Linked DNA regions of Tamandua tetradactyla. The protein of the gene in region 1 purifies or fractionates together with the protein of each later gene. This does not show direct contact. Links are inferred from orthologs where the notes say so. Each region holds a gene or a part of one and is shown in the gene's direction. Other genes may lie near its edges. The genes, in order: CORO1A, IFT57 and POC1A.

The links.
Region 2: the proteins of CORO1A (region 1) and IFT57 purify together in Homo sapiens (affinity purification with mass spectrometry; 3 studies listed by BioGRID and IntAct, counting the BioPlex papers as one, with this or other methods). This does not show direct contact. The link is inferred for Tamandua tetradactyla from reciprocal best matches to the Homo sapiens genes CORO1A and IFT57.
Region 3: the proteins of CORO1A (region 1) and POC1A purify together in Homo sapiens (affinity purification with mass spectrometry; 3 studies listed by BioGRID and IntAct, counting the BioPlex papers as one, with this or other methods). This does not show direct contact. The link is inferred for Tamandua tetradactyla from reciprocal best matches to the Homo sapiens genes CORO1A and POC1A.

Annotation. Positions count from the first base shown.
Region 1 is NC_135349.1:24,729,977-24,740,863, forward strand, and holds the start of CORO1A (coronin-1A), read left to right. Parts: upstream 1-6,363; 5' UTR 6,364-6,533; intron 6,534-8,165; 5' UTR 8,166-8,166; coding exon 8,167-8,364; intron 8,365-9,542; coding exon 9,543-9,665; intron 9,666-9,760; coding exon 9,761-9,890; intron 9,891-9,982; coding exon 9,983-10,167; intron 10,168-10,293; coding exon 10,294-10,413; intron 10,414-10,685; coding exon 10,686-10,790; intron 10,791-10,887. UniProt on the Homo sapiens protein: May be a crucial component of the cytoskeleton of highly motile cells, functioning both in the invagination of large pieces of plasma membrane, as well as in forming protrusions of the plasma membrane involved in cell locomotion.
Region 2 is NC_135336.1:38,854,576-38,865,310, forward strand, and holds the start of IFT57 (intraflagellar transport protein 57 homolog), read left to right. Parts: upstream 1-5,751; 5' UTR 5,752-5,875; coding exon 5,876-6,087; intron 6,088-8,478; coding exon 8,479-8,641; intron 8,642-9,439; coding exon 9,440-9,558; intron 9,559-10,735. UniProt on the Homo sapiens protein: Required for the formation of cilia. Plays an indirect role in sonic hedgehog signaling, cilia being required for all activity of the hedgehog pathway.
Region 3 is NC_135341.1:33,700,911-33,711,945, forward strand, and holds the start of POC1A (POC1 centriolar protein homolog A), read left to right. Parts: upstream 1-6,316; 5' UTR 6,317-6,746; coding exon 6,747-6,848; exon of another isoform or gene 6,849-7,156; intron 7,157-11,035.

The DNA of each region.
Region 1 (10,887 bases):
GCATGGGCTCAGCAACATGGACTTCCACTCACCAAGGCTGACCTGGCTACAGCCACTGCTGAGTGCCTAATCTGCCAGCAGCAGAGACCCACATTCAGCCCCCGATATGGCACCATTCCCCGAGGTGACCAGCCAGCTACATGGTGGCAGGTTGATTACATTGGACCACTCCCTTCATGGAAGGGGCAGTGATTTGTTCTAACAGGAATAGACACATACTCTGGATATGGATTTGCTTTCCCTGCATGCAATGCTTCTGCCAAAACTACTATCTGTGGGCTTACAGAATGCCTTATCCATCGTCATGGTATTCCCCATAGCATTGCTTCGGATCAAGGAACACACTTCACAGCAAATGAAGTGCGGGAATGGGCACATGCTCATGGAATTCTCTGGTCTTACCATGTTCCCCATCATCCAGAAGCAGCTGGATTGATAGAACGGTGGAATGGCCTTTTGAAAACTCAATTACGGTGCCAACTAGGTGGCAAAAACTTGAAAGGCTGGGGTAATGTTCTCCAGGAAGCTGTGTATGCTCTGAATCAGCGTCCGCTGTATGGTGCTGTTTCTCCCATAGCCAGGATCCATGGGTCCAGGAACCAAGGGGTGGAAATGGGTGTGGTGCCACTCACTATTACTCCTAGTGATCCACTAGGAAAATTTTTGCTTCCTGTCCCTGCTACCCTGAGTTCTGCTGGTCTACAGGTTTTAGTTCCAAAACGGGGTGTGCTTTCTCCAGGAGAAACAACAGTGATACCACTGAACTGGAAGTTAAGATTGCCACCTGGCCACTTTGGGCTACTTATGCCTCTGGATCAACACACCAAGAAGGGGATTACATTATTGTCTGGGGTAATTGACCCTGACTATCAGAAGGAAGTAGGACTGCAACTACATAATGGAGGTAAAGAAGAGTTTTCTTGGAATATAGGAGATCCCCTGGGGCGTCTATTAGTACTACCATGCCCTGTGATTAAAATCAATGGAAAACTGCAACAACCCAATCCAGGCAGGACTACTAATGGCTCTGAAACTTCAGGAATGAAGGTTTGGGTCACCCCACCAGGCAAAGAACCACGGCCAGCTGAAGTGCTTGCTGAGGGGAAAGGGAACATGGAATGGGTAGTGGAAGAAGGTAGTGATAAATATGAACTTCGACCACGTGATCAGTTACAGAAACGAGGACTGTAATGCTGTTTTGTTTGTGTTATACTATTTAAGTTGTAAGATATCAAGTTTAAGAACGAATGTTGCCCAAGGATTTGCACCCTATTCTGGAGAGATTTAATGTGTTTCCAGTTATATGCAGGACAGTTGAGTATTGTCAGGTAAAAGAAAAAATGTGTGCTTATTTGTTTTCATTTGGAAATTAAGTATGGTCTAAGGTGATATATATATATAGGTGCCAAGTTGACAAGGGGTGGACTGTCATGGTTAGGGACAGGTGTCAACTTGGCCAAGTTGTGGTACCTGTTCATCTGATTGGGCAAGCGCTGGCCTGTCTGTTGCAATGAGGACATTTCATAGGATTAGGTCATTTCATAGGATTAGGTCATGATCACGTTAGCTACATCCACAGCTGATTCCATTTGTAATCAGTCAAAGGGGAGTGTCTTCTGCAATTAGTGATGCTAAATGCAATCATGGGAAGCCTTTTAAGGAGGACTCAGAGAAGACAGGTTGCATTCTTGCTTTGGCTGGTGAGCCTCTCCTGTGGAGTTCATCCAGGCCATCCATTGGAGTCATCGGCTTCGCAGCCTGCCCTGTGGATTTTGGACTCTGCGTTCCTACGGTCACGTGAGACACTTTCATAAATTTTATATTTGCAAGTGTTCCCTGTTGATTCTGTTTCTCTAGAGAACCCTAACTAATACAATCACATAGTTGTATATTCATCATCATGATTATTCCTTAGAACATTTGTATCAATTCAAAAAAAGAAATAAAAAGAAAATGGAAAAAAATGTGTACATACCATACCCCTTACCCCTCCCTTTCATTGATCACTAGCATTCAATCTACTAAAATTATTTTAACATTTGTTCCCCCTATTATTTAATTTTAATCCATATGTTTTACTCATCTGTCGAAAAGGTACATATGCCCCAATATTGTCCTTTTGGGCATTTTCTCCTCCATTATTAGATCCCATTCAGGATCATGTGTTGCATTTAATTGTCTTTGTCTCTTTAGTCACTCGTTTTATTTTATTTTTTTAATACAGTTTTATTGAAATATATCTTCACATACTATATAATCATATAAAGTGTACAATGGTTCACAATATCATCATATAGTTGTGCATTCATCATCACAATTGATTTTTGAACATTTTCATTACTCAAAATTATAAAAAATAAAAATTAATATAAGAGTAACAAAGAACATCCTAAACATTCTGTACACCCAATCACACCTATTATTCAATTATTCATTTTTTCTTTTCTTTCTTGCTCAACTTTCTATACACTGTAAAAAGGATCGTCTGTCATAAGGTCTTCATAATCACACAGTCATGCAGTTTTTGGTTTCCACTCATCATTATAAACTTTGGTAATTTCTCTGTAATTTAAATTTAGGATATGTATATTTTCTTGGTACATGACTGAAATAAAAGAACCTCACCTAGCAATGCTATAAGACATGAAGTTTTATAAAGTCATGAGGTGCTGGTTTGAAGTTGTCATGTACCCCATTCAAGTTGGCTTTAATCCTTTTCTAACAGTGTCTTTTGTGAGAAAATAAAAGACAAATGTTGAGAGAGAGCTTAGAGAGAAATGCCCTGGAGAGGCCAAGGACCCACAGATTTTCAGAGAGAATGCCACTGATACCAGGAGTTAAAAAGAACAAATCCCAGGACAGAAGCACCAGCAGGCACAATCCATGTACCTTCCCCCGTGACAGAGGAACATTGGATGCCAGTAAGCCTATCTTCAGAGAAGGTATCTTTCTCTAGACTCCATATTTGGATACTTTTAAGGCCTTAGACATGTAAATTTGTAAACTCAGAAATCTCCCTGTTAAAAGCCAACCCATTTCTGCTATATTGCATTTTGGCTGCTTTAGCACCCTGAAACAAAGAGGTTAACTCTTTACATGGACCAATATCTTTTAAAGGTCTACATGCTAAGAATTTGATTTGAAAATCCTACCATTCTGTGAAGTGTTAAGAAGCTTCAATAATTCATGTTTCTTTGTTTAATTTGATATGACTTTTAAAAAAAACATTTCTTTTATCCTGATTTCTAGATTAACACCAAGGTTTGAAAATGAATCCGAATTTTGTAACAGCCCATAAATTTAATCAGGTAGGATGCTAAAATTTCCTATAAAAATTCTTCAACGTCACCTGCAGTTGTAGTTTTATTTTTCGTTCTGTTTAATGTATATATAAGAAAGTATGCTTTCTCCATTTTCCAAGTATTTGATTATTTTTCATTTAATGCTTTTTAGATATATTATTTTGCATTTAAATAACATGCATTCCTTTAATGTATATTAAGGTTTTCTTTCTAGAATTATTTTTTACCATTTTCTTCGATTATTTTTGTAAGGGTAAGGTAAAGTTCAACCTCTGTTTTAGAAGTAAAATGCTAACTTCTCACTAGTTTATCACCGTTCAATAATTTATTCAAATATTAAAATGTGCATTCTTTTCATGTACATTTTGAATTCATATGAAAATTCAACTTTTCCTATGTCCTGTCCATAAAATCACTATATTATGACTTACTTTTGCTCAAAAATCAAAGTTGTCTAAAATTTATATTTGTCACAATTCCTTCATTGTTTGCAATTAGTGATGTCTTTAGTAGCCATTTCTTTTTTTATTAATATATATTTTTACTAATCTCTCATCTTTTGTATGCACTGTGCTTGTCTGTTATTAATGCATTATTTGTTTTTATTTAAAAGCATGAAGTAAAATGGCAAAATTTTACTTTGGTTGATCTGAGTGATGATTCAACACATTTTTGTATACCCTGTAGTTGGTTATAATTCAAAAATTATTCAGAATTTCAAAAGAGGTGATGAAACCTCCCTTTCTAGCTTTTAATTTTTTTTTTTTTTACTGTTAGCACATATACAATCTAGGATATCCCATTAATCACATACAGATATCCATTTCATTGTTGTTAATTACATTCACAATGCTTTGGTACCATAATCATCAACCACTACCAAAATATTTCCCAGCTTTCAAATAAGAACCTCATATGTTTTAAGTCTTAATTTCCCATTCTCTACAGCCATCAAAACCATGGTAAACTACAGTACAGATTCTGAATATGAGTTTTCTTATGTTAAATATTTTAAATCACTAAGATTGTACAATATTTGTCCTTTTGTTTTTGGCTTATTTCACTCAATGTCTTCAAGGTTCATCCAATTTCTCACATGTATCAGGACTTCATTCCTTTTTATGGCAGAACAGTATTGCATTGTGGTATTCTATAATACCACATTTTACTTACCTATCCATCAGTTGGTTCCAAGCTGTTACGCACCCCCAAGAGAAGGCCACGTTCTTTTAATCCATTCCTGTGGGTGTAGCCCTATTGTGGGTGGGATTTTGACTAGATTATTTCAATTGAGGTGTGATGCACTCAATTCAAGGTGGGTCTTAATCCTTTACTGGAGTCCTTTATGGGGATAAAAGAGAAGGAAAAAAAAACATTTGGAGAGAGTTTACAGAGGGAGCATGTCCCCAGAGATGCCGAGCAGAACAACAGATGCTCAGAGAGAAACCCACTGGATTCAGAAGCAGAAAGCTGTAAAGCCCAGGAGTGAAGGACCAGCAGATGTCGGCCACATGCCTTCCCATGTGACAGAGGTGTCCCAGATGCTGGCCTTTCTTCAGAGTCCAGGTATCATATTTTAATGCCTTAATTGGGGGCATTTTCATGGCCTACAACTATACTTTCAATAAATCCTCATTGTAAAGCCTAGTTTTTATATATTGCATCCTTTTATTTTTTAATTGTGGTCACATACATACAACATAAACATTCCCATTTCCACCAGTCCCAAGCATACCACTAGAAGGATTAGTCACATTCATGATGTTAAGCTACCCTCACCACCATCCATTAGCAGCAATTTCCCATCACCTGTATACCCATTAACAGAAACCCTATATCCATTATGCACTCACTCCCCGTTCCCCTTCACCCCTCGTCAGTAACCAGTACTCCAATTTCTGTCTCTACGTATTGCATATTCTAGCTATTTAATATAAGTATAATCATACAATATCTGTCTCTTTGTGCTTGACTTATTTCACTCATCATAATGTCTTCAGGGTTCATCCATGCAATCACATGTATTGGAACCTCATTTCTTTTTTAGGGCTGAATAATATTCCATTGTATGGATATACCACATTTTGTCTGTCCATCCATCCATCGGCTAGTGGACATTTGGGTAGCTTCTACCTCTTGGCTATTGTGAACAATGTGGCTGTGAATATTGGTTTACAAATACGTCTGAGTCTCTGTTTTCAATTATTTTGTGCTAGAAATGGGATTGCCAGGTCATACAGTAATTCTGTTTAACTTTTGAGGAACCACTAAGCAGTTTTTTCACAGGGTCTGCACCATTTTCCATTCCCACCAACGATGTACTGAGGTTCCTATTTTTCTGCATCCTTGTCAGCACTTGCTGCTTTCCGTTTTGTTAATACTAGCCATTCTAGTGGGTGAAGTTGCGTCTCATTGTGGTTTTGATTTGCATTTAGCCTGAGAACATTTTAAGGGCAGGAACCTGACTCCTTCAGCTCTCGTAGGCCCTTGCACAAAGTAGGGGCTCCATAACTTCAAATTACTTCATTTGTTCCCCACCATAACCCTGTGAAGCAGGCAAGGCAAAGGTGCTCCCAGGTGAAGAATCAAACCCAGAGAGGTTAAGTGTCTCCGGGAGTCTGAACAAGAACTCCGTGGGTTCTCGTGAGTTCACGTCCGACCGTGACTTTCCCTTCTTCCCGTGCGTTGGGGGGGAGCATGGGGGCTGGTGCAAAGGCCTGAGGCGCGGCCTGCAGGGAGCGTGCACGAATGCCAGGGTAAAGGATGGAGAGGAGGCTGCGAGGGGACTGAAGGTGGGAAGGAGAACAGGATATTTTCGCATTTTTGACATTAAGACACACACGCGCGCGCGCGACTCCCGGGGCCCGGCCGGCAGCAGCATCTGCTTTGGTCTGGAATTGGCAGCGAAAGGCGAGGAGCTTCTCCCATAGGGAGGAAAGGGAGGGTGCGGGCTCTGTCGGGGCCGGGCTGGCGGGCGGGGCCCTGGGGAGGGAGCCGGCGAGACCCCGCAGGAGCCCCGCCCCCAAGGGGCGCGGCCACCCGAGGAGGCGGGCGGACGGCCTTGGCTCATTCATTGTCTTGACAAGAGCATCCTCAGCGGGCGAGTCTCCAGGGCCGCCAGCTCCGTCCTCCTTCTCCTCCTCCACCTTCTCCTCCTTCTCCTCCTCTTCCTCCTCCTCCTGCTCCTCTTTCTCCTCCATTTGGGGGGTCGCTGTCATCTCTCAGCGGCAGGTAAGGCTGAGGCCCCTGGGCGGAGCCGAGTGGGGTGCGGGGGAGCTGGCCCGGGAGACCCGGCATCCTGCCTTGGGCCACCTGTGGGGCCCGCCGGCCTGGCTGAGCCGGGCGCTGAGATGAGCAGAGGGAGCCCGGCCCTCGTGCCAGCCGTGAGGGGACCGTCCCTGAACAGGGTGGGGTGCGAACACGTGACTGTCCATCTGTCTGTCCGAGGGTGCGTTGAAAAACTGAGAGTGAAGGCCCGGCACAGCCAAGATGGAGATGGGGAAGCTGGGAGGGGCGTCAGTATTAGCCAGAGGGGTGCGGGACTCATGTCAGGCACTGACTGTCCCCAAAATGGGAGTCTTGGGGTGGGCAGGGTGGGGTGAGCACAGCAGCTGCCCTGAGCTTGGAGACAGGAAGGGGTTGAGAGCAAAACAAGAAAAGATCAAGTTCCCCATTCTGTGGTTTCCGGGCCTGGTACCTGCGGTGGGGGAGGAGGCGGGGTGGGGTGATGGCTTCCTGTCCCCCAGCCTCTTGATTTGGGGCTCCCCTATCCCTAAGACCCAGGCCTCTCACCTGGGACTGGCTCCCACCCCCACACTGCTCCTTTCACAGGGCTCCTCACTCCGCTTTCTAGGCAGGCAGACCTGGGGCCCTCTCAGGGGTCACAGGGTGGGCAAGCAGGCAGGAGCCCCCAGTGGGACAAGGACAGGCCTGAAGTTACAGCTGGGGTTGTGGGGCAGAGTCTCTGGGGAGGCCCCTTTGCTGGGAAGGAAAGTTGGGCACCAGGATGGGCCTCTGGAGCTTGGGAGAGCTAGAAGCACTCCCCTTGGCTTCTCTTGCTCTCCACCCAGCCCCAGTTGGGGAAAGCCATCCTAGCTGGACCTGAGATGTCAGCTGCTCCCTCCTGTGTAGAGAGCTCTGATGGGCTGGATATGGCACTTCAGAGCACCTGCTTTTCCCGAGCGGAGGCGAGAGGCAGAGTGTGGGGGAGGAGGCGATACTGGGACAGCAGCCATCCGCCTGGTTTTGGTGCCCAGAGACCTCCTGGGGAAGCCATCCTGCCTCATTCCCTCCTGGGCAGGCCCTCGTGCCTCTTCCTCCTGCATGTCCAGCCCTGTGCCAGGAGGCGAGGGAGGGCCAGCGTCTGCCTACAGGGAGCTCCCCGCGTGGGCTCGAGGGATGTGAGGGCTGCTCACTGGAACAGTGTGAGAACCCGGCCTCCACACTGCCTGGGCTGACAGCCCCCGAATCTGAATGAGAAAGAAAGGGCTCTGCATCCATCCACCCATCAGTCAACAGTGTGCGCTAGTGCCTTAGTGCCTTAGTGCCTACCCCCTCCAGGCTCTGCAGCGCAGGCTGAGGGCACAGAAACGGGGGTGGGTGGGTTAGAGTGGCCTGGAGTGGACAGAGCTGGTGGGCCTTCCGGGCTAGACAGGAGTGAGCAGGGGTTGAGGAGGGTGAGCAGTGGGGGAGTGGGATGTCTGTTAGGGAGGAGAGTTAGGGGCCCGGAGCCCTGGGAGATGATGCTGGGGAAGTGAGCCGAGGCCTTCAGGGCCAGACTGAGGGGTGTCGTGGGGAGGTGGGGCCGTTGTGATGTCAGAGTTGGCCTAAAGGGATAAAAGGCCCCAATCCGTATGTCCCCAGGATGAGCCGGCAGGTGGTCCGCTCCAGCAAGTTCCGCCATGTGTTTGGACAGCCAGCCAAGGCCGACCAGTGTTATGAAGACGTGCGCGTCTCACAGACCACCTGGGACAGCGGCTTCTGCGCCGTCAACCCCAAGTTCGTGGCCCTGATCTGTGAGGCCAGTGGGGGAGGTGCCTTCCTGGTCCTGCCCCTAGGCAAGGTGAGGCCTGGAGCCCTGGGTGCAGTAGCTCCTTCCCCCAAGGGGGCCTCCGGCCAGCAGTGGCCCCCTGGATTCCTAAGTGGGTGGTTGCCACCAAGCTTCTCGGGACCTCAGTCTTGTCATCAAAATGGGGCTGGGCCAGGTGAGCCTGAAGTTTCCTCCTGCTCTTCCATGTGGTGGTTAAATGGAAACTGAGGCTCAGAATGGGGAGATGACATGAAAAGGGTCACATAGTGAGTCCGGGCGAACGCAGGACCGTGCCTACCAAGCCTCAGTCTGGAGAACACAGAGAGGGCAGGCTTCTTGGGAGCTGGGAGGGACCCTACCTGAAAGACCAGGCTGAGCCCTTGAGGACAAGCAAGCGCTGGCCCCAGTTCACAGGCAGGGATGAGGCAAGAGGCCTTCTCCCCTCCCCCAGGCCTGCCCTCCCCCTGGTCCTGCTCTCCCACCCCCACCCCCACCCATTGCAGTCTGCTGACCCCCTCCTCCAACACACTCTTGTGTTCTTTAGGGGGTGAGACAGGAAGGGGAGATGGGCTCTAGGTTGTTACCTTAAAAGGGCCGAAAGAGGCCAAGAGAAGAGGAAGTGGTTGTCGGGGTGGGAGCTGGGCCGGCACCCCGCACTGCCCTCCACACAGGAAGCCCTGCTGCGGCAGTTGTCCCCGGAAGAGGCTATTTCCAAACCTCTGCTCCTGCCTGGGGGCCAGTTATGACAAAGTTCCCTGGTCTTTCTCCTTTTGGAAGGCCCCTTCCCTGAACCCAGCCATTCACACCCACTTTCCTGGAAAGCCCTGATTCAACCAGCCCCCACCCCATCCATCCCTGCTCCATTGCCTTGGCCTGTATTGCCCATGAAAGCCTCACTCTGGCAGCAGGAGACCCAAGAGCCCAACTGATGCCGACTCACAGGGCCCAGATGAGAAACTGAGGTAGAGACTGGCAGGACCAGGAACCATTGCAGCCCCATATCCCCAACTCTGCTACCTGTGGGCAGCCCTCCAGGGCAGGCCCTGATGGCTCTGGGATTGGCAAACAGAGGGGCCAACTCTCACCAGCCAGGCCCTGGTTCAGATCCAAGGGACCCCACAGCCTTCTGCTCCACACGTCTGTGGGTGGGAAGTTAAGACCGGGTTTGGAAGGCAAAAGCATCCCTCTCAAGGCCCTGCTGTGCCCTCCAGACTGGACGTGTGGACAAGAATGTGCCCACAGTCTGTGGACACACAGCCCCTGTGCTGGACATCGCCTGGTGCCCGCACAATGACAACGTTATTGCCAGTGGCTCCGAGGACTGCACAGTTATGGTAAGTGGCAATGGGGACCCAGGGGCCAGGGGGGAGGCTGTGGGCAGGGATAGGGAGGTTGGAGCCCCAAAGACTCACTAGACCCTTCTCGGCAGGTGTGGGAGATCCCTGATGGGGGCCTGACGCTGCCCCTGCGGGAGCCTGTTGTCACCTTGGAGGGCCACATGAAGCGCGTGGGCATTGTGGCCTGGCATCCTACCGCCCAGAATGTGCTGCTCAGTGCAGGTGCCATGGGGACTGGGGACTGGGGACTGGGGTCCAGGGCTGGTGGTGGGGGGCCTGACCCAGATGGGTTCTGACATGGGGGCCTTGTCCAGGCTGTGACAACATGATCCTGGTGTGGGACGTGGGCACGGGGGTGGCCATGCTGACGCTGGGCCCAGACGTGCACCCGGACACAATCTACAGCGTGGACTGGAGCCGGGACGGTGCGCTCATCTGTACCTCCTGTCGTGACAAGCGCGTGCGCATCATCGAGCCCCGCAAAGGCACTGTGGTAGCTGTGAGTTGCTAGGAACCTTCACCCCTGACCTGAGGACTTACCCACCATCCAGCAGGCCCCTGGAGGCCATCCTCTCTCGCCCCACCGGGGGTCTGGCCAGACCTACTCCCTCCCTTTTCCTTCCAGGAGAAGGACCGTCCCCACGAGGGGACCCGGCCTGTGCATGCTGTGTTTGCGTCTGATGGGAAGATCCTGACCACAGGCTTCAGCCGCATGAGCGAGCGGCAGGTGGCACTATGGGACACAGTAAGTGCCAAGCCCACACAAGCAAGAGGCCTTGTGGGAGGGAGGAGCCCTGGGCTGCAGATCCAAAGGCTGGAGGTTTACTCCCTACCTGGCCACCTCCCTGGCTGCATGGCCTGGGGCCTCACTTTACCTATTTGCGAGATGAGGATTTAGCTGGTTCATCTTCGAGGACTCTCATGGGTTGACACTGAAGTGAGGGTCACTGCCTTCTGAAGGTCACCACCCCAGTGCCTGGCATAGCCCAGCTCAGTGCTCTCTTCCTATCTCTGCAGAAGCACCTGGAGGAGCCTCTGTCTCTGCAGGAGCTGGACACAAGCAGTGGCGTCCTTCTGCCCTTCTTTGACCCTGATACCAACATTGTCTACCTCTGTGGCAAGGTGGCCCAGTCAGGCTGAGGTTGGGGGGAGGCAGGCAGGAGGGGCTTGGAGGGGACCCCAGCTGGAGGCATCTTTTGGTATTGATCGTCTTTTGCAC
Region 2 (10,735 bases), on another chromosome or scaffold:
ACCCCCCCCAAGTACTTGGAGAGGATGAGTTTGATTAGATTATCTCCATGAAGATGTGGCTCCACCCATTCCGCATTGGTCTTGATTAGTTTATTGGAATCCTTTAAAAGTGGAAGCATTTTGGAGAAACCTTCAGAATAACAAGATTCTGAGAGAACAGAGCCATGACACGGTAACAAGAATGACAAGAGCCAGAATGCAGGCAACCAGAGACCTTTGGAGATGAAGAAGGAATATGCCCCCGGGAGAGTGTCATGAAATAAGAAGCCTGGAGAGAAAGCAAGGAGATGCCACCATGTTCGCCATGCACCTTTCCAGTTGAGAGAAACCCTGAATTTCATCAGCCTTCTTGAACTAAGGTATCTTTTCCTGATGCCTTAGATTGAACATTTTTATAGACTTTCTTTAATTGGGACATTTTTTCAGTCTTAGAACTGTCAACTAGCAACTTAATAAATTACTCCTTTTAAAAAGCCATTCTGTTTCTGGTATATCACTTTCCAGCAGCTAACAAACTAGAACAGGTGCCATGCATGCTCCGGAGCACTTGTTATGGGGCCAGTTACTAATTTATGCTGATCTACTTCCTAGAGCTAGCAGTTTCTTGTCATTCCCATTGCCACCCATCTCTGTTCAGGACTTTCTTTCACCTGACTATTCAAATAGCTTTTCCATCACTTTTCACCTTCCCATAGTCCCTCCTCTACAATATTGCCAGAACACTCAAAGATACAAATTTGATCACATCCTCCCAGAATATACATACCTACTTAAAGTCTGTTAATAGTCATCCCATCACCTACACGGAGGCAGTAAACTGAAGGCAGTTCACACATACATTTTATTTCTCCCACACCTTTTGCTCATCAAGAAAACAAACCCATGGAGCCAGGCAAAGCTTTGAGATATATAGAATATCATTGAATGGTACTTGCCATGAGAGCCAAAGTTAGCTGAAGCAGTCAACTATAATCTTGGTGGGATTAAACAACTTTTTTTCTAGTAGAAAAGAACTAGGAATCAGAAGTCCAGGGCATGAACTGCAAAACCACTTCCTTTTCTAAGTTAGGTCTTAGGATGTTCCATTGGTGTTTTGAACAAGAATTATTCTACATCTGGCCCAGGAATCTTTCTATACATTGGATGGAAAACTTCACTGAAGTTTTCATGATCATTGATTCCTTAGGTGGGTGAGTATATTTTAACCCTCAAAGTTGCAACACTAAGTACAGCAATGATGAATTCATAAAAAGATACAATATGTTAAAGAATGAGTTTGATATTTAAATATCCATGGTTGAAAATTTGGCCTATTAGAGAAAAAGACCAACTTATAACTCCGATTTATAATGTGTAATTGAGTAATTGACATAGATTTTGTTTTAAATTGAAGCTAGGTTTATACATAGTATTGAAATACACAATAGAACCTAGCATATGCATGCACGCATATACACACACACACACAACACCCTGTCCTTTTTTAAGCTTTTAGACTTCGTACCTGGAATGGTTTGTCAGACAGAATGCTTAAAATAATTTTATAAACAATGTAAAAAAAAAAAAAATTGACTGTAGCAAACACATTTATAAATTGAATAAGATTTTAATATCAAACTAAAGAACTAGGCTTCTTAGTTTTAAACTTTAATGTTTTAATCAAATACCTTTAACAACTAAGCGCCTGAAATAGTGTTTTCTGTGCAAAGCCACCCTCAAGAGCATTAGGATGTCACACTGTCACAAAAATCCAGATTCAGATCCTTGTAAAATCAGAATACATGGCAAAATTGGACTGCATTGCTGCCTGAAATGATGGTCCCCTCCTTGAGATGGTACATGACCTTTCTAGTTCACCATAGTCCCCTTCACATGTCACATTTACATACTCAGACCTTATAAAGACACTTGAGATTTTGACCCATTCATCCAAAACAGTGATACTCAAACAGTGGTTATTGGCCCTACAAGGAGCCATTTGGCAATGTTTAGAGGTATTTTGGGGGTTCTCATAACTGGCATCTAGTGGGTAAAGGCCAGGGGTGCTGCTAAACATCTAAAATGCAAAAAACAGACTCCCTAAACTTATTAGCCTAAAATTTCAATAGTGCAGAAGTTGAGAAACTCTGATCTGAAAGAATACAACTAAACCCCTCAGCTTAGCACAAAGGCTTTGAGCAACCTATGACCTTTGTGCATCCTAGAAACTAATCCACTGACATTATATGGGTTATAAATATCTTCACTGTTTAGAGTTCTTTGTTGTACCTAAGTTCTTAAATTGATGTGCATGAGTTTCTCTATTCTTTAAAATTTGTTCTTTATTTCTTTCAAAAGATCCTTTCCTACCCTAGGGTTAAAAATGTTTTAATATGTTTTCTTCTAAATATTCTACAAGTATTTTACATTTATACCTTTAATCCATCTGTAATTTGTGTGATAAGAATCAGAGATAATTGTTTCCATACGGATAGTCCATAACAAGGCTTCAACATCTATCAAGTAGTTCATCTTTCTCTATTATTTGGCAACACCAACTGTCAGATACTGTTTCCAGGATCTTTATTTTAGGTTCTACTTTTATTGGAATCTTGCAATTTGATATGGTGACTCATTTCCTATCTTTGAGCATTAGGTTCTTTAGATTTTTCCATGAATGTAGAAGTTTATTGATTTCTCCATAAAGATAATGATAAATTTACTCCTGGGGTATGATGTCATTTTTTTTATTGAAGGTTTTGTTTGTTTGCTTGCTAACTGCTATTTCCATCAGCTTTTTCTGTTCGGATCTCATCTATAGTAAACTTGCTAAGTTGTCTTTTAATAGGTTTCTGTAGATTCTCGGATTTTTTACTTTGTCAATCCATCACCTGTAATGGTTTCTACATTTTGCAATACTTGCTCCAGTTTTCTTGTCTCAAGGTACTGACTGATTTCTAGTACAGTTCTGAAGAGTAGATGTCTTCATCCTCAGTTGGTTTTAGAAGGATTCACTTCTAATCCTTCACATTTAAATGATTTTTCCCCCTAGGATTTTTAGTCAAACACTTAGCTTTATGAATCTATTAGTGTAAGGAATTTTATTCTATGTGGCTTTCTAAATTTTTAAAAATCATGAATGGGTGGTACTGAGCCACTTTATGACAAAGCTGCTTTGTCCTTTACGGCCGCCCGATCTTCTTGAAGACTTTTTCGAACATTTGGAGATGCAGCTTGATAGCCTTCCTCCATCTTTGAACCTGCCTCCTCTTCACCCCTAGCTTTCAGGGAAATCCACTTGGCTTAAAACAGCTTTGAATGTAACGCTACTCAGTTTTCAGAGATTAACCAATTCACAAAAAGACCTTAAGGGTCTCAAAAACTATCTCTGTTTATTTAATAGATAGTTTGCAAGAGATAAAGTCAAAATCAGAAGCCTGCTATTAATTGAGATCAACAGAGTAGAGCCAGGGATAGATCTCCCTTAAGATTCTTTAAAAGTAGTGTCAACATATTCATTCTCATCAAGCCCCACCTAATTCCTTCCTCCACAAATCAGCTAGTCCTGCAAAAGTTAACACAAATGTATCCCAAAGTTTCTAAGAGGCTGACAGCTAGAAGGGGATTTGAGTGCATTCTCTCCAATGAAGGAAAGTAATTACGTCAAGGAAAAGACCTCTCAGTGTTACCAACTATTGAGGGTAACCAAGGAATCAGTAAAAATAATTTGTGGGTCTTATGAAAAGGAATTGACATTTCAGTGTTGCTTTCCAATCTTTTTGCTGTGAGAAAACATGCAGTGTTGAAAAGCTAAGCTTCACTTCTTTCTCTCTGCCACAATTACTGAGGACACTATATTTCATTCGTTTTCCCCTCACCTCTATCCTTTCTTTTCCACAACAGTTACAAGATAATTCTTCACAATGATTCCAGGTTAGGCTGAGTCAGACATGGGAAGGGGATGGCTAGGTTTTACAAGTTTTTCCCCCAAAATACATCATTTTTGGAGGATTTCTTGTCACCCCAAAAAAGCAACACTTGATTATATTTCACACTGCATACTATATAAGATCCTGGAAATGTCAGAACTTTTTAAGTAAGCAGGGTGCCCTGCATCAATGACGATCTTCTTGGGCATAACCAATTTACCCTACAAAGTCTGATACTTACGTATTAAAAAAAGCTACAGGTTGCTTGTTGATTAAGCAAGCACCCCAAATCATCTGAGCTTTGGAGTTTATTTTCCATCCTAACAAGCTATCTTGTACTCAGAAAGTTATGCAGATGTCTCTTCCCCAAACATACATACACCCACACACTCACAGAAGGTGGAGTGGAGACTTAAGGAAAAGGGGGGAAATCACTGTTTGTGAAGGTTATGAAAAGGAAATATTAATTTGACAATGGTGTGGAGCCAAACACAATTTTCCCACTTATCTTTATTGAAGACAACTGGTTAATGACTTATAGCAGGGAGGCAATGCTGTTTAATTAAAAAACATTTCTCAATGCCTTTCCCTTTTGGATTAGTCTACAATGATGTGTGTTTCCCCTTTTTGATGAGATTTGCTTTCTAATTTTACTGATACCTTTATAGCTACCAAAAATAAGTTAGTTCTAGACAGATATTAAAATGAGAACAGACTTTTGCCCATTTTTTAAACAAAAATACAAAGATACTACAGGCCCATCGCAAACTTCAGTTATGTCAAAAAATGTGATTTCTATATTCTTTAGTGGCATATATAAGAGATAAGAGAGCCTCAAAAATCACATTAAAGACAAAACATATATTTGAGCATTTGTCTTAATTTTTCTTCTCCCAGCTACCTCCCTCTTACGCAGTTGTTAGGAAAGCTGCTTGATTCACAGTCTTGAGAACCGTAGATCTGGGCCACAGCTGTGGTCAGTGATGTCCCCTTTTTGCATTTTCTAAGACAATAGCAGCAAAATACATTATTGAATAACACCTGGTCTTTAAGCACACTCAGGCGTTTGGAATTCCTTTCAAGCTAATTGTCTCCTTCATTTTGTTCGTTTTAACAGGGCTTCCCAGAACTTTATACTATGTGAGACGGGTTTGAAATACATTAAGGAGCAAGATAGGAGCTAAATGTTCTTTTTTGAAATGGAGCAAATCCTGCCTGAGGGGCCTCCTTTTTGCTTTTCAGTTTCTACTTCCCTACCTGTTCCCCAACCAATCCCTTTCCTAGCACTGAACAAGAGAAAGGAATTGGAATTCTTCACGCTTTATAATATAGTGTTAAATAAGTAAAGCACTACCAACGAGAGGGAGAAAAGATTAGGTTACAACAAACAAAAACTCCTTGTTGTAGTTTCTGAGGTAAAGTAAAATCCACGCTATTGACTATCTTTATAACTGAAAATTTTCAATTTTAAGAAGAAAAAACTAGGTTTCAGTGGATTAGCGTAGCCTTCACTACTGCATGTCTTCATTTCCCTTCAATGTTTTTAACTTAGCTACCAACAGATCCATACACCAACCCTGCAACCCCGTCCAGCGAGAGAAGCTAAGCAGATTGCTAGCATCCCCCTCCTTTGCTTTTAAGCGGCTGCTGGAGGCTGAGCAGGCTGAAGCCGGGAGCGGAAGCCACGCCTCCAAGAAGGGCGGGCCAGCCTCCCAGCCACATCCTCCGCAAGGTGAGGGGCGGGGTTCACGGTGACGTCATTCGGAGGCCCTCTGTGATTGGAGGGAATTTAGAAGGGAAACAGAGGGCCCAGGAAAGAGGCGGAGCCTAGTTTCCTTGGTGACGGGTTGCCCGGCGGGTCGCCTGGTAACGGGTCGCGGGTGTTTTGGTTGTGGCAGCGCAGGCGGTGGAGGCCCGGGAGGTCTGTGGGCTGGAGGCCCCGCCGGCGTCCTTCTGTCTGCTCTGCGATGGCTGCGGCCGCTGCAGTCGTCACACCGACAGGTTTGGAGGATACAGTGTCTCGGACCCGCAGCGAAGGGGCTGGAGAAATGGTCGTGGAGCGGGGGCCCGGCGCGGCCTACCACATGTTCGTAGTGATGGAGGACCTAGTGGAGAAGCTGAAGCTGCTCCACTATGAGGAGGAGCTCCTCCGGAAGAACAACCTGAAGCCCCCGTCCAGGTGGGTCCACTCGTCCCTGAGCGCCTGGGTCCTAGCTGATCCTGGGGGAGATGCCTTCCCGCGTCCTACTGGGGAACGCCGAGCACGGGTTAGAAAGCACTTTCCTCCATCTTCCTAGTCGGGGAAGGGCAGCTTACCCCAAACTCAGCGACACTGTTGTGGAGCCCACAGAGTTCAGACTTGGTATTTTTGTAGAGAGAGGAAACAAGTTTTGGAATGTCAGAGGGACTAGAAGACAGCTAGCCTATTCTCTAAAATGTACACTTGTCACAAAACACAGACTGTATTTTCTGATTATAAAAGTAATAAAAATACCCATTGTAGAAAGCTTAGAAAAACACAAAATTGTGCAGAAAAATACTAAAGTCATCCGTAATCTTATCCTCAGGAAGGAGCACTGTTATTTAGCTCTATTTCTAGTCTTTTAATTTCCTCTGCGAGGACCTTTCCATACAACTGGCAACTGCAGGTACCTCAGACTTGCTGAGTACTTTATATGTAAACTTGTTGACTAATTGCTATGGTTTAAAAGAACTTCTTCTGCCTTTGCAATAAAGGTACTCTCAGAAACTAAGAAGTGGGAAGCAGAAAGAAATGACAAAATATTGAAATTGTCTCCTGGTAGAACCTAAGGTTCTGCCCTTGTTCCTACTGGGGAAAAGTTTATCTTTCCTTGATGATAGTACCATTTCTTGCTTGAGAGTAATGGATAGCAGCACTTTCTCCTCCAATTAACATAGTCCAGCTATAGTCAAATGAGTTTTATAGGGACTACATTTGTTTATTTTGTATAAGAGGCAATTTAGATTAAGAAGACTGAGCATTTTCTTTTAAAGTTTGTAACTAGGTTAAAGTAATTTTCCTCGAAGTTTTAATTTCATTCCTCTGCTCTTTTCTAATAATTTAATAGCATACTATGTAGACTTATGTAAACTGTCCATATTGCTAAATCAATCCATAATGTCAGAAAAATTGGAGGAGGAAAAAGTAGTATTGCTTGATCCATGATAGAACCTGTTAGATGAGGAGTTAGCATGAATTGATCAGGATAATATAGACAACTTACATTTTCTATGTTAATAAAAATTCGTTACCTTTTTCCCAATATATTTTTCAAACTAAATGAAAATGACCTCAAGGTTCTGTTGATATCAAGCTCTGTACTCTTTCCTCAGGAGTTCAGCAAGATACTTTGAGTCATGAATACAAATGAAGATATGCTGGCTCAGTGGTTCTAAAAGTGTGGTCACCAGACCAGTAGCATCAGCATCACTTAGAAACTCACTGGAAATGCAATTTCTCAGGCCCATTCCCCAATCTACAGTATCAGAAATAGGTGTTAGCATTTTGTGTTTTTAAAAGCCTTTTTGGTGATTCTTATGTACTTCAAGATTTGAGAACCACTATCCTTCCTCTTTGTTGGTATATCAGTTTCTACTGTCCTGGAGGGGTAATCGGCTGAAAAGGAAAAGATGAGTTATTGGTAAGTGGGTGCTTTGAAAGGGTCCTGAGCCTATATCTGAAAGGGCTGCAGGGCCTTTCCTTCTTTCTCAGCTTTTTGTTATTTTCAAGAACATTTATTTATCCTGCAGGAGAAAGTTTGGGAAACATGAAGAAATAAACCATTAATTCTTATGACAAATGGTGAGAATAGCTATTAATACAACATAAACATAATAGTAATACCTTTAAGTGAAAAAAGCAGGATAAGATCTTTGTTCAGACTGACTTGAATGCTATTGCTTGCAAGTTTTATTCTTAACATGTTTAGGTATAAATCATACTGATCCTCATAAGAATTTTTTTAGTAGGCTAGATGATTTAACAAAAGTTAACAATATTTGTTAGAATGGAGATGTGTTACTCTGGTTTTTTAAATCCTCGGTATACCATAGAACCATCTTGGGAGCTTTTAAAATAGACTCATACTGGGCTCCATTCCCAGAAGTTCTGGATTCATGCAAAGATATTAATGGCATGTTAAAAAGTAAAAATTTATTGTGAGTGGTCATTAATGTGTTTTTAATAACTCTGAGTTTCCTGTTTCCAGATTACCATTTTCAGGAGGCACTCTCTTATTATTTCTAACAGCTTAAATGATTTTGGCAAAACTTCCACATACACTACATTTTCTAGATATAAGGTCTTTGAGGTAATATTTTATGTACAGTAGTAATTGCCCTAATCCTATTTGTTAAAAGTTTTAATGTGAGTGCTGTGGATTACTGGAAACTTTAAGGGGTGAAATATTAGTGTCTTTTGATTTTAAGGCCATTTGAAAAATGGAAAGGGTCCTTTGGCAGATTTGGACTGAGCGTCTTTAGGTACCACAGACTTGTTTGCATTATTTCATATGCTACTTCTCTCCCCAACCCCCTTGTTTTGAAACAGACACTATTTTGCCCTGCCTACCAACCCTGGTGAACAGTTCTACATGTTTTGCACTCTTGCTGCTTGGTTGATTAACAAAGCAGGACATCCCTTTGAGCAGCCTCAAGAATATGATGACCCTAATGCAACAATATCTAACATATTATCTGAGCTTCGATCATTTGTAAGTGTAAACAACTCTTTTCTTTCTGCACGTTCTCAAGTTATGAACTTTAATATTGGTGATTCCACAATATAAATGCTAGATGCTTCGATGAATTCTCTCTGAATATATGTAGCTACATCTTAATTTACTTTCAGATAAAACCTTCTCAGAATGCTTGATATTCATTTTATACCACTTCTAAAAATTGTTCAGTATACACTCATTATTGCCCAAAATAATGTTTTTTCTTAGTTTTGAAATGTCTTAAAGTAAATTAATGGGTGCTTAGTTCTTCCTTTAAGAAATTAAAAAAAAAACAAAAAACAGCTAGGAAGCTGAAACACTGTATTTTAAAAGAGAACTGTGATTTACTAGACCATAATAAAAGTTGTGCTTTTCATTTCTGACTTTCCTGAGGACAGGCAGTGAGATATTTTTGTCTCATATGTTACTCATTTTTGACAAGTGAATCACTCTGCCCTTCATGTGGTTGTTTAATGATGTGATACCAAGTGAATAGTTTCACTGATTTTTTTCAGCCCAAGAGGATCAGTGATTTATTCTGCCAGGCAGGAGGTTATTGCCTTTTAATTTGATACTTTGACAATAAAATGTCTGTTTCCTTAGTTTTTAAATTTATCTGTAGATTAAAAATAAAGGAACAAATAGGTGGATTTTTAAGATACAATGTAATTACAGTTTAAATCATATTTGAAAAATGGTAAGGGATGTATCTCTTCAGCTGTTCTTTGCTTAAAATGTTTTGGCATTTAGAATATAATAAAAATAATACCCTGTTTATCTTTTGTATTTCAGGGAAGAACTGCAGATTTTCCTCCTTCAAAATTAAAGTCAGGTTATGGAGAACATGTATGCTATGTTCTTGACTGTTTAGCAGAAGAAACATTAAAATATATTGGTTTCACCTGGAAAAGGTAAACACTACCCAGCCTACTTATAGTAATAGCGTCTTCTTCTAAGTGTTCAGAACTTTTTACTTGAATTGAAAGTGATTTCCTCTTGACTGTTCTAAATTGAAAATGCCCTCAGGTGATTAAGAAAAGTCAAAGACAAAATTGAAATATCCCGTGTCTTCAAAACCAGTTCTGGCGATGTATATTATTGTGCTCCTTCCTTGTTCAAATGTATACTTATCAAAGATTTAACTGTAACTGTATACCCTTGTCAATTTAGGAACATTTAAAAAAGTCTTGTGTATGTATTTATTTAGACATATAGGCATAGTATATACATGGGGGTAATGGATAGCTGCAGATTTAAGGGAAAAATGGAAATGGATATAGTGTTTTAAATGGGATTTTCCCCTTTGCTTACAATGACTGGGCAAGAATAATACTGAAGTAGCCATCTGACACTCTCCTAGATGTTGTTCATTACTTCTTTCTCTGGTCTGATAGTGCTCTGTTAATGTTTCTATAATATTGTATTTATCTTGGTATTAAAATAATTTGTAGGCCTGGCTTTCTTGCTAGAAATAATAAAGTCTTCATATGTACTATATGGCAATTAGCAGAGTGCTTGGTGTATCACAGTTGCTTAGTAAATGTGAGACACATGGATGAGGAAATAAAATATCCTAGATTATCAATTTATATAGATTATAATTTGAAAATACATGAATTTGGTCCTTTGACGGTAGAGATTATCGTCAGGTTAGAGAATGTGGAACACATTATACAGGTAAAATGAGCAAGCAGTAACTTGTAGATTAGAATTAATTTCTGTAGAAAGGTCCTTGTTAATATTTTAATATATTCTCAATTACATTCGTTCAGGTGAACAACAACTTCTTATTAATACCTACGTTAGAACTTCATTGACCTAGGTTATCATCAAGTTGAACCTTATGGCATTACTGGTATCAATTATTTTTGAACTAAAAAATGGCAATTTCATATGCTTCAACCCAAACATTTAGTGCAATATAAAGAATGACTACATGATCCAGAGTATTTATAAGATTTCAAGGAAAGATAATTTTAAGATGTGTTTCTCTCTTTTTCATATTATTATGTCTATAGTCCAACATATTCTTAAATTCAACAAAAGCTATTTGTATCTCAACCACTGCTCAGTTTTACATTTCTTTTG
Region 3 (11,035 bases), on another chromosome or scaffold:
GAAGGCCATCCGTTCTGTGCCTTCTGGGCACGGAGAGGCATTTGAACCAAGACTGAAGGGTAGGATTTCCCCCAAGGCGCCTGGAAAAAGGAGTCCCCTAGGCAGAGGGAACAGGGTAGAAAAGATACAAGGAGGAAAGTTCTGGCCCATCAGGTGGTCCTAGTGTGTGGCTGCAAGTTGAGATTAGAGAAGCAGCAGTAGCAGACCAGGTGGGCTGTGAAGGGCACTCCTGGGAGTCCGGCCTTATCCCAAGGGCATAGGGAGTCACAGATGGGCTTTAGGTAAAAGAGCTTATGGCAATCCCCAGGGAGGTTGACAAACGTCATTACCCCACATTTACACCAAGCCCCCTTCCCTCTTGTCCAGGACCAGACAATGCATTCGCTCTCCAATCTGGAACTCAGTTTTCCTGCCCGTATAGGGTGGCTGCCCTGGCCCTGAGTGTGTAAGTGACTTGTGGGGACAAGCCTACCTGGGACCCTAGGATGACTCACCATAGGTAGGCCTTTTCCACCTGAGCAAGCCTCTTGCACCTTAGAGACGTTCCCTGAGGGCGGGCAGCAGAGCTGACAGGTGGACAAGGAGGCAGTGGAGGTGAGCCCACACTAGGCAGGCCTGTCACTGCCTGCCTCACCCTGGAAAAATGGTGTGTCTCCTTTATCCCACACTTCTCCCTTCCGGGGCACCATGTCACTGTGGAATACTTGCTTGTCCCTCAAGTCCCCCACAAATGCCTTCTCCTCCTCCCCAAAATCCCCATCCTACCAACAGAGCACCTCTCTCAGTACTGAACTTGACTCCTTCCGGGAACACTTGCTGAGCTCAACCTGCTTAGTGGCAGAGCTGGCTCCTTCCCTCTCTGGCTGCCCTAGGGCAGGGACTCAGGAGTTAGTCAGCCTTTCTCCCCGACTAAGCTGGGCAAAGGGGCTGGTACACACCTGGCAATCCACAAATGCTTGGTGATCTCAGCACAGGGCCGAGGGTTGGCACTCTACAAATACTTGTGGACTTAAATGGCCTGTCCTCGATTTCATAGAAAGCTCCTCCCTGAGTATGAGCATCTCTGGGAACCCTGGGAGGAATATTTTCTGGTGCCTTCCAGGTCTGGTGATTCCAGGGATTGATTCATCAGACAAGTCTGAGTGTCTAGACCCTGGCAGTGATCAGCACAGCGTGGCCCCTGCCCTCATGAAGCTCCCAATCAGGAGAGATGGACGATGAGTGAAGACCATATAAGCAGACACCATAATTTTTGGTAGAGATAGGACCTGAGTAGGAGGATGGAGGTATGAGAGGATGCCTGGGGAGGGCTGAAGGAGGACCTCTGAGGGGGTGACATTCACAAGGAGCCAAGTGATGTCCCAGGGGAAGGCCAGGCCAGACAGAGGGAGACCCCCATGTGACGGGAAGCAGAGATTTAAGCCAAGGAACCCCAAGGACTGCTGCATGCCAGCACCAGAATGCTAGTGATTTGGGGGAGAAAGCATGGCTTTGCTGATGCCTTGATTTTCGACATCTAGCCTCTCAAACCATGAGCCATTGTTTGAGCCAATGTATGGTTTTGTTACAGCCGCCTGGCAAACAACGACACCTACCTTCTCAAACTGGTGCATGATGATGAGCGGAACATGAAACCACAAGATAAATAGGGGCATCTTCCTGATCATCAGCTCTACTTCAAGTCAACTGCATTTATCATTAGAACACCAATTTGATATTAAAAAGAAGTGGCTGTAAAATGGAGTAGGTACAGAACTTACCTGACAGTTTAAGAGATAAACTACAAGACACCAAGGACTTTTTAGTGTGGGCTTGAACACTTTGGGACAGTTTCTGCCCTCATCTCCGCTGTGGAGGGTGAAAGTCTTGAGGATATCAAGTCCTATCGGGGTCGGCACCATTCAAGGCTTTTCAGTCCATCTTCCTGTATGCATTAGAATGAAGGGTACACGTTGTGCAGAAAGAGAGATATGGGTTCTAATCCTGGCTCCCCATTTACTAACTCTGTACCTCAGTTTCCACATCAGTAATATGAACATAATACTCCAACACCTCTGGAGTTTCAGTTAAGATTTCACGTGGTATTTAGTGTACAGTGTCTCTGAAGCAAATGAAAGATGTTAGTTATTTCACTGTCCCAGGCCAGTTCATCATACCACAATTTAGGGGTTCCTAGGGGAGGGAAATCTGATTATCCTCTGGTCTCTGGGGCAGCTAACCCTCTGGGGGCAGCTGGTACAGATCTGCCACAGGGCACAAGCTGCTGTGACTTGCTTGCTTCTGTCTTGCTCTGGGTCCCCAGGTTGGGATTGTGTCTCCAAACTCACCTCAACTGGACAGTGGGGCTGTGATGGGTTGAATTGTGTCCCCCTAGAATGACATGTTCAAGTCCTAACCCTTGGTACCTGTGAAGGTGACCTAACTTAGAAACAGGGTCATTGTAGGGGTAACTAAGTGAAGAAGAGGTCAGATTGGATTAGACACACAGAAACACGGAGAAGATGGAGGCAGAGATCGGAGTTTTGCTGTCACAAGCCAAGGAATGCCTGGGGGTCACCAGCAGCTAGAAGAAGTAAGGAAGGATCTTCCCCCTAGAGGCTCAGATAGCTCATAGCCCTGCTGACATTTGGTTTCAGACTTCTAGCCTCCAGAATTGTGAGAGAATACATTTATGTCGTTTTAAGCTACTAGCTTTGTAGCCACTTGTTACAGCAGCCACAAGAAACTAATACAAGTGCCCAAGGCACAAAGCATCACCACAGCTACCATAGATTGGACATCATGCCCCCCACAGCCCCATGAGGAGACTGAAGTCCTGGAGCCTCGGTGACCTGCCCAAAGCCATGGGCCTGTCCACAGCTTACAGCTACACTGTCCAGTTCTGTACCCACTAGTCACAACCTGGTTGTTTAAATTTAATTATAAATTAATTAAAAGTAAATAAAATTTAAAAGTCACATCCTCAGCCATACTAGCCACATTTCAAGTGTTTGGCAGTCACATGTGATGAGTGCTACAATATTGGACAGTGCAGAGAGGACATTTTCATCATCAAGGAAAGTTTTTTTGTACGATGCTGGTCTAGATCAGTGGTTCCCAGCCCTAACTGTCTGCCAGACTCACCAGGGGAGTGTTCAAAAAAAAAAAAACACTGAATACTGGGCTCCACTACAGAGGTTCTGAATGGCAAGCAGAGCTGAGAACCGCTGCTTTCAAGCTCCACCTGTATTATCTACCAGGAGGAGCTCAGCTTTGAGTTCAAACTTCTTGTGTTTGTACCATGCCCTCACCCTCAGCTTTGCAGGATTTGCTCCCTTATCACAGCTGAGCTGCCCTTCTACCTGGACAGGATGAAACAGTGGCTCAGCCTCTCTTGTGGACCTGCTCAGGGTCATGGTCATGGGATGTGGGTAGGAGGACTCAGCACTCAAAGACTTACCCATCTGATTTGCCTGAGAAACCAGCTCAGCGTCCTCACATTTCCTAGAAATTAGTCCCAGTGAATCCTGGACCCATGGACAACAATGCCCCCAGAATCACCACAGTAACTCCAGTTATGTTACTCATTGTTTTCAACATCAGAGGGTGGACCCAAACTAGACACTTACATAAAGTGACTTTAGGTCACTGAAACATAGGCTTCAGACCAGAGGGGCCAATGCTATTGGCAATACGCATGGAAAAGGGCAGGGTTGAAGGTTTATGGCCCTACTGGACCTCTCCCTGCTCTGAGGTATGCCCTGCCCTTAGAGAAAGTCAACCTGCAGAGGCACATCAATTCCACAGTGGGTGCCACTGAGGTCCAAGTTTGCAAGTGGGACTCCCTAAGAAGGGGCATCTGAAGGGGTCATTCCTATAAAAAGTGGGCCTGGTGCCCACAGCCTCATCCATGGTGGGGAGTGGAGGAGAAAACACTCTTTCGGCTCATATCAACCCTAGGACAGAACATGTGGCTCCCTGACCTTTTTGGGCTGATTCCCAGGAATCCTGTTTACATTTGTGGCCTCACAATCTGTTTTTACTTCTTACCCCACCTTTGTCCTTGTTCCCCAGACATGCCATATTCAGTCCTGTCACCAGACCTGTACCACATTGAATTCATGTCCACTGGCAACCTGGGAATGCGATCTATTTGGAGATAGGGTCCTAGCAGATGTAATCAAGTTAAGATGAGGTCATACTGGATTAAGGAGGGCTCTTGAAGGAGACATTGCACTGGGATGGATACAGCCCTGCCAGAGGGGGGCTTGAAAAAGAAACTCCTTCCAACTCCTCCTCCCAAAGGATTTCCCCAACATGGAGGCCCCAGGCAAACTGGAATCAATCTAATAGAGGTGGAGGGGAACGGGGCCCTGCCTAGTCAGAAAGTGAAGGTACCAATCTTGGCTTGTGTAGGTTGTATCCATGGTTGTCTGTGTAGCATTGTCAGAATGGACTTCTTTGCAGATTTTGGCAAAGAAATGAACAAGAGTGGTTGGGGCATCTCCAGTGGTGGGTAAAGACTAGGAAGGAAAGACTAGGAAAGGTGAGTGTTCTAGTTTGCTAGCTGCTGGAATGCTACACACCAGAGATGGATTGACTCTTAATAAAGGGGGATTTATTACATTAGTTCTTCAGAGGAAAGGCAGCTAACTTTCAACTGAGGTTCTTAGGTGGGAAGGCAAAGGGTGATCTCTGCTGGCCTTCTCTCCAGGCCTCTGGGTTCCAACAACTTTCCCCAGGGTGATTTTTTTCTTCATCTCCAAGGGCCTGGGCTGAGCTGAGAGTGCTGAGATGAGGTATGCTGAGCTGCTTGGGTTGTGCTACCTTGAGCTCTCTCATTTAAGCACCAACCAATTAAATCAAACATCATTCATTGCAGCAGGTACGCCTCCTAGCCGACTGCAGATGTAATCAGGAACAGATGATGTTCACATGCCATCGGCTCACGTTCACAGCAATATAACTAGGCATCTTCACCTGACCAAGTTGACAACTGAATCGAACTACCACAGTGAGTAAAATCTTGCAGTGTTTCTTTGAGTAAGCCTGACATTTGAAAATCATCTATGGAAGAGTTATTCTAAATTCAATTTATAAATTGCAAGCTCCCATAGACTAGGTGTGTTCCACTAATAAAACTGACAAAACAAAACTAAATTTAAAAAGCCACAAAAGAACTCTTAGGTTTAATGAACAGATTATTCTGCATTTAGATTTTATTTTCTTCCTTTACTTTCTCCCTTAGATCTTTGGCTGGCAGACAAGAGAACTACTGATTCAGAAGCAAATGTTGGTGGGAATGCTGAAAATTGTCCAGTTTCAGAGTGCATGGGAGTGAGCCAGGGAGCTGGTGGCTGTTTTAAGGGGACTTTCATAGTATCTAAGTTAAAGTAGCCCAAACATTTCTAACAAAGTATCCAGTTCAATGCCAAACCACAGTTATAGTCCTGTTTCCTGTTTTCTGCTCTAGACCTTCCAGGGCCAAACCCCCAAACCATCAGTTTCTGAGTTTAGAGAACTGAGCTCTGGCTTACAGGTCCAGGCACACACCATCTCAGGTAAGAAATCTCAGTGCCTGGCCAGATCCTAATCAGTGATGGAGTTTGGCCAAGCCCGCCTGACCAGGGGAGGTGATGAAAGTCTCCCGAATCATGCAAAATATCCGGTCGGGGATTAGTTACCTGTTGGGAAAATGCTTGGAGTGAGAAGGAGTAAAGATTCACAGATCTGCCTACTCTCTGGACCTGCGGAGGGCAGGGAGTGAGTAGGGACGGCCTCTGGTGGACAGGCTCCTGGATTGCCTTCTTTTTCTTTTCTTTTTTTTTTGCATGGGCAGGTACCGGGAAGCGAACCGGGTTTCCGGCATGGCAGGCGAGAACTCTGTCTGCTGAGCCACAGTGGCCCTGCCCTCTTTTATTAAGTATTCAATTTATACGGATTTCTCAAGCTGAAACATCCAGAGTGGGCTAGGTCATATCACACTTCCTCAGGTTACAAATGGAGAAACTGAGAGACCCAGATAGCAGAGGAGTTTTTCCTGATGTCACATAGTGAATCAGGGCAAGAGCTGTGATTAGAATCTAATTCTGTACACTACATGTATATGCTTCCGAGTGCCTCGAGATTTTTTTACATCGCCCCTGTTTTAATTGCTTTCAGAAGGTTTAAAGAGTTTAAGAGGGTTCCCGAAGGGCGAATAATCTGTTCTAAACAGAGTCTTCTGCGAAACATAAGCCGCGCCCGTAACGGTGCTTTAAGGCAATACAAACACAGCGACTCACGTGTCCTCCACTTCCGGGATCCTTAAGGCTCTTGCTTCTGGGGCAACCCAGACCCGATCTCATGGGATCTTGGGAAACGTAGTTCCATCTTCCTCCAGATACAAGGATACTGGGTGCTCGAAACTACACTTCCCAGAAAGCGGCGCTCGCCGTCACGTTAGCCGGCCAATGGGTCGGTGGGGCGAATAGTCTCGTCCCGGGCTTTTTAATTTCTGAGGAGGAATGAGCGCTTGTGGACAGAGGCCTTTGCTTACGCCGCCGGTGGTCTTCCCAGCTTTACGGAGTTGGGCGCGTACAACAAGGAACCTGCCATACTGCTCTGCTTCCGGTCGGGGGCAAAAAGTTGCTGCACCGCCTCTCCTTTAATTGCTGTGGGCGGGGCGTGGCGGAGCGCCCAGTGTTGTTATTGGCGGCGGTTGGGGCGCGGAAACTGAACTGGCCGCAACGGCGGCCTCCGCCGGCTCCTCTGGCCCTTCGGGCGCCATGGCCCTCCCCTGCCGGGTAAGTCCTTCTCGGTGGCGGACTCCCGGTCTTAGTCTCCTTGCCTGGGCCTACAGGGACGACACACCAATTCCTGCTTCCAGGGTTTGCATCCTAGTGGGGGAGTCACAGCACAGCCTGGCTCGAGCTGTGTCCTGGGGCCTCTCTGGCCTCAGTGTCAGCCGTGAGCAGCGGGCTTCCGGATGGGTGCTTGTTGAGGGCACAGCTGGCCGCTGATGGCCTGGGCCGTCACAGATCTGCTGTGTGACCTAGCCAGGCCACCGTCTCGGAGTCCCGGTCTCCCTCAGAGGGCAGAGGGGAGCACTCCAAAGCCCATTTCCTTTTGCTGGGTTGCGTGGAACCTGCCTGGTCCTCTGGCCTTCTGGAGAGTCTAGGAGACTGGGTGGAGTCCTATGGCCTCTAGGCGTCTGAAAACTTGGGCAGAGGCCCAGACCAGGATCCAGACCTTTTGGCCCCTAGTCTTGTGCCCCCCACAAACCCCACAACCTCCAGGGTTATTAAATCCCTTGGGAAGAGGAGTCTTACATATAGGGAAACACAGAGCCTGTGGGATTGGGGTAGGGGGTGTTAAGTCTTTTCAGGGGCACCCTCCTCAGGGATGGACCTGTACTTGCCTTTGCACGCTGAACCTACAGGCTGCTGCTATCTTACTCTTGGTCTTCTGGGAGGATCAGGTGGCAGCTTTGGGGTGGGTGCTGCTCTGTTGGGAGGCTCCCCAGCTGCCACTGTCTCCTGTTGTTGAAAGTGGGAGTCAGACAGGTGTATTGGGAATGAAACTGGGCACAGAGTCGCCAGACCTTTGTTCTGGGCACAACTCTGTGGGGTGGTGGGGCCTTGCTCCTGCCTCAAGGGCATCCTTTCCCAAGAGAAGGCTTTGTTCGGCTCCCAGGGCACCCCAGGATGCTTCTTTGAGGTTTCTGAGGTTTGCAGGGGGTTGGGTAGGGGACGTGGGGTAGATGTTAAGAGGGCTGGAATATAACATGTGCTGAGACACGATCTGCTGTTGGATGAAGAGTCTCCACAGTGTTCTCTCCATATCTTCTCGAGCATTTCCCTAAACAGCCCTAGTTCTCTAATGTTGAGTGGAGGGGAGTGGCAGCTCTGCCACTGAGAGCCTGTCCAGAACTGACCTTTGGGTTCACTGGCCCTTCTGTGGTGGTATTGAGGGTATGGGATCTGAGTCCTGAGGATGGGAGTGCTGAAAACAGTGCTTTTCTCTCTCTGGACATTTTATAAAAATAATTTTTTTGAGATATAATTCACATACCTTAAATTTCACCCTTGAAAAGTGTACAGTTCAGTGGCTTTTAGTATATTCACACAATATTGTGCAACCGTCACCACTATCTCATTCCAGAACATTTTTATTACCCCAAAGAGAAACCCAGTACCCAGTGGCAAACATTCCCTATTTCTCCCTTCCCCTAAGTCCCTGGCCCACTAATCTGCTTTTCGTCTCTGAATTTGCCTATTCTGGACATTTCATATGAATCATACAGTAAGTGGCCTTTTATGTTTGACTTCTTTCACTTAGGATAGTGTTTTCAAGTTCATCCATGTAGAGCATATTCCAATACTTCATTACTTTTTGTAGTTGAATAATATTCCATTGTATGAATATGTCACATTTTTTGTATCCATTCATCAATTGATGGACATTTGGGTTATTTCCACTTTGTCATTAGGGAAATGCAAATCAAAACTACAGTAGTGTGCAATTCACACACACTACTGTGACTATAATAAAAAAGAACCAATAATGAGAATGTAAAGAAATTGGAACCCTTATACACTGCTGGTGGAAATGTAAAATGGTGCAGCAACTTGGAAAACAATTTGGCAGTTTCAAAAAAGTTTAAACATTCAGTTATTTTGGAACTATTATGAATAATGCTGTTATGAACATTTGTATACAAATTTTTGTGTGAACATATATTTTCAGTTCTCTTAGGTAGATACTTAAGAGTAGAATTGCCAGGTCATATGGTACTGAATGTTTAAACTTTTCTGAAACTGCCAAATTGTTTTCCAAATTGCTGCACCATTTTACATTTCCACCAGCAGTGTGTAAGGGTTCCAATTTCTTTACATTCTCATTATTGGTTCTTTTTGATTATGGTCATGCTAGTGTGTGTAAAGTAGTATCTCATTGTGGTTTTGATTTGCATTTCCCTAATGACAAATGATGTTGAACGTCTTTGCATGTGCTTTTTGGCAATCTTTATGTCTTTTGAGAAATGTCTATTTAAATCCTTTGCCCACTTTTTAATTGGATTGTTTATTGTTTTGTGATTGAATGGTCTGAGTTTTTTTTTTATGTATTCTGGATACTAGACCCTTAACAGATCAGTGATTTTCAAATATTTCCTCCCATTTGGTAGATTGTCTTTTCACTTTTCTTTTTTTTTTAAATTTATTAATTAAAAAAATTAAGAACAAACAAAAACATTAACATATAATTCTGTTCTATATATATTCAGTAATTCTCAATATCATCACATAGTTGCATATTCATCATTTCTTAGAACATTTGCATCAATTCAGAAAAAGAAATAAAAAGACAACAGAAAAAGAAATAAAGTAATAACAGAAAAAAAATAGGTTATACATACCATACCCTTTACCCCTCACTTTTTTTTCACTTTCCTGATATTGTTCTTTGGTATACAAACATTTTTAATTTTGATGAAGTATAGTTTGTCCTTTTTTTTTTTTTGGTCACTTGTGCTTTTGGGGTCATACATAAAAAATTATTGCCTAATCCAGGGCTACCAAGGTTTACCCCTATGTTTTCTTCTAAAAGTTTAACAGTTTTAATTCCTATATTTAGATCTTTGATCCATTTTCAGTTAAATTTTGTAAATGGTGTGAGGTGGGGTCCAACTTCATTCTTTCATATGAGGGAGATCCTAGTGCCCTGGCACTATTTGTTGCAAAGACCAGTCTTTCTCTGTTGAATTGTCTTGGAACCCTTGTCAAAAATCACTGAGCTGTAATAAATATAAGTGTTTATTTCTGGATTCTCAATATTCTATTCTATTGATCTTTGTGTCTGTCTTTATGCCAATACCACACTGTCTTGATTACTCTAGCTTTGTGGTAACTTGTGAAGTTGTGAGCCCTACAACCTTGTTCTTTTTCAAGATTGTTTTTTTGCTATTCTGGGTATCTTGCATTTGCATGTGAATTTTAGAATTAGTTTGTCAACTTCTGCCAAAAAGACCACTGGGATTTTGATAGGGATTGTGTTGAATCTGTATATCAATTTGGGGAGTATTGCCATCTTGACGATATAAAGTCTTCTGAACAACAAGCATGGGACGTCTTTCCATTTATCTGGGTTATCTTTAATTTTTTTCAGTGATGTTTTTTAGTTTTCACTGTACTTGTTTGTTTTAGTTTATTGGGCTTTTGAAATAAATAACATGCAATGGGTTGATTAAAAAACGGAAATTTAATGGCTCATGGTTTTGAGGCCAGAAAAAAACCCAAATCAAGGCATCATAGATGCCATCCTTTCTCTTCAAAGACTGGCATTCTAGGGCTGGCTGCTGGCGATCCTTCGTCCTTGGCTCCTCTGTCATGTAGCAATGTACATGGCGGCCTCTTTTGGCTTCTCTGTTTTCTTCTGGATCCCTGTGGTTTTGTCTCTGAATTTCATTTCTATTTATAAAGAACTCCGGTGACAGCCGGTTATTACAAATTGCCATGGTATGCCAAGCCCCAACTAACAGTATTCCTGAAAATCCTAAAGAAAACCCAGGATTCTATCTAAGACTCTATGAAAGGTTTACTTACTGTTTATTTTTCAGAAATTTAAAACCTCGAGATTGTTCCTATACCAGATAAGTCCTGAAACTTAGAGGTACTAGTCTCTCCCAGAGCATCAACCAATTGCATTCCCCTACCCCAAGATGTCAAAGCACCTTTTTGACATGATAAAGTTAGAATGGTCATTGCCCAAATATCCCTGAAGATTGAGAGAACGATCAAATGAGAGGGAGGACCTGAAACAGAGAAGTTAGGATTTGACAAAGGTTTATGACTACGGAATCATTGATATTTCTTTTTAGTTTCTGGGGTATTAGAATAGCCAGAAGGAAATACCTGAAATTGTGGAACTGTGACCTATATCATACTTTGAAATTTGCTCTATGACTGTTAAATTGTACTTTGAAATTTGTTATTTCTCTGTTTATGTTTTATATATTCGCATACTAAAAAATGTTTAAAAAGAAACAACTCCCAGTGACCTGTCCTGATTGGGCTGG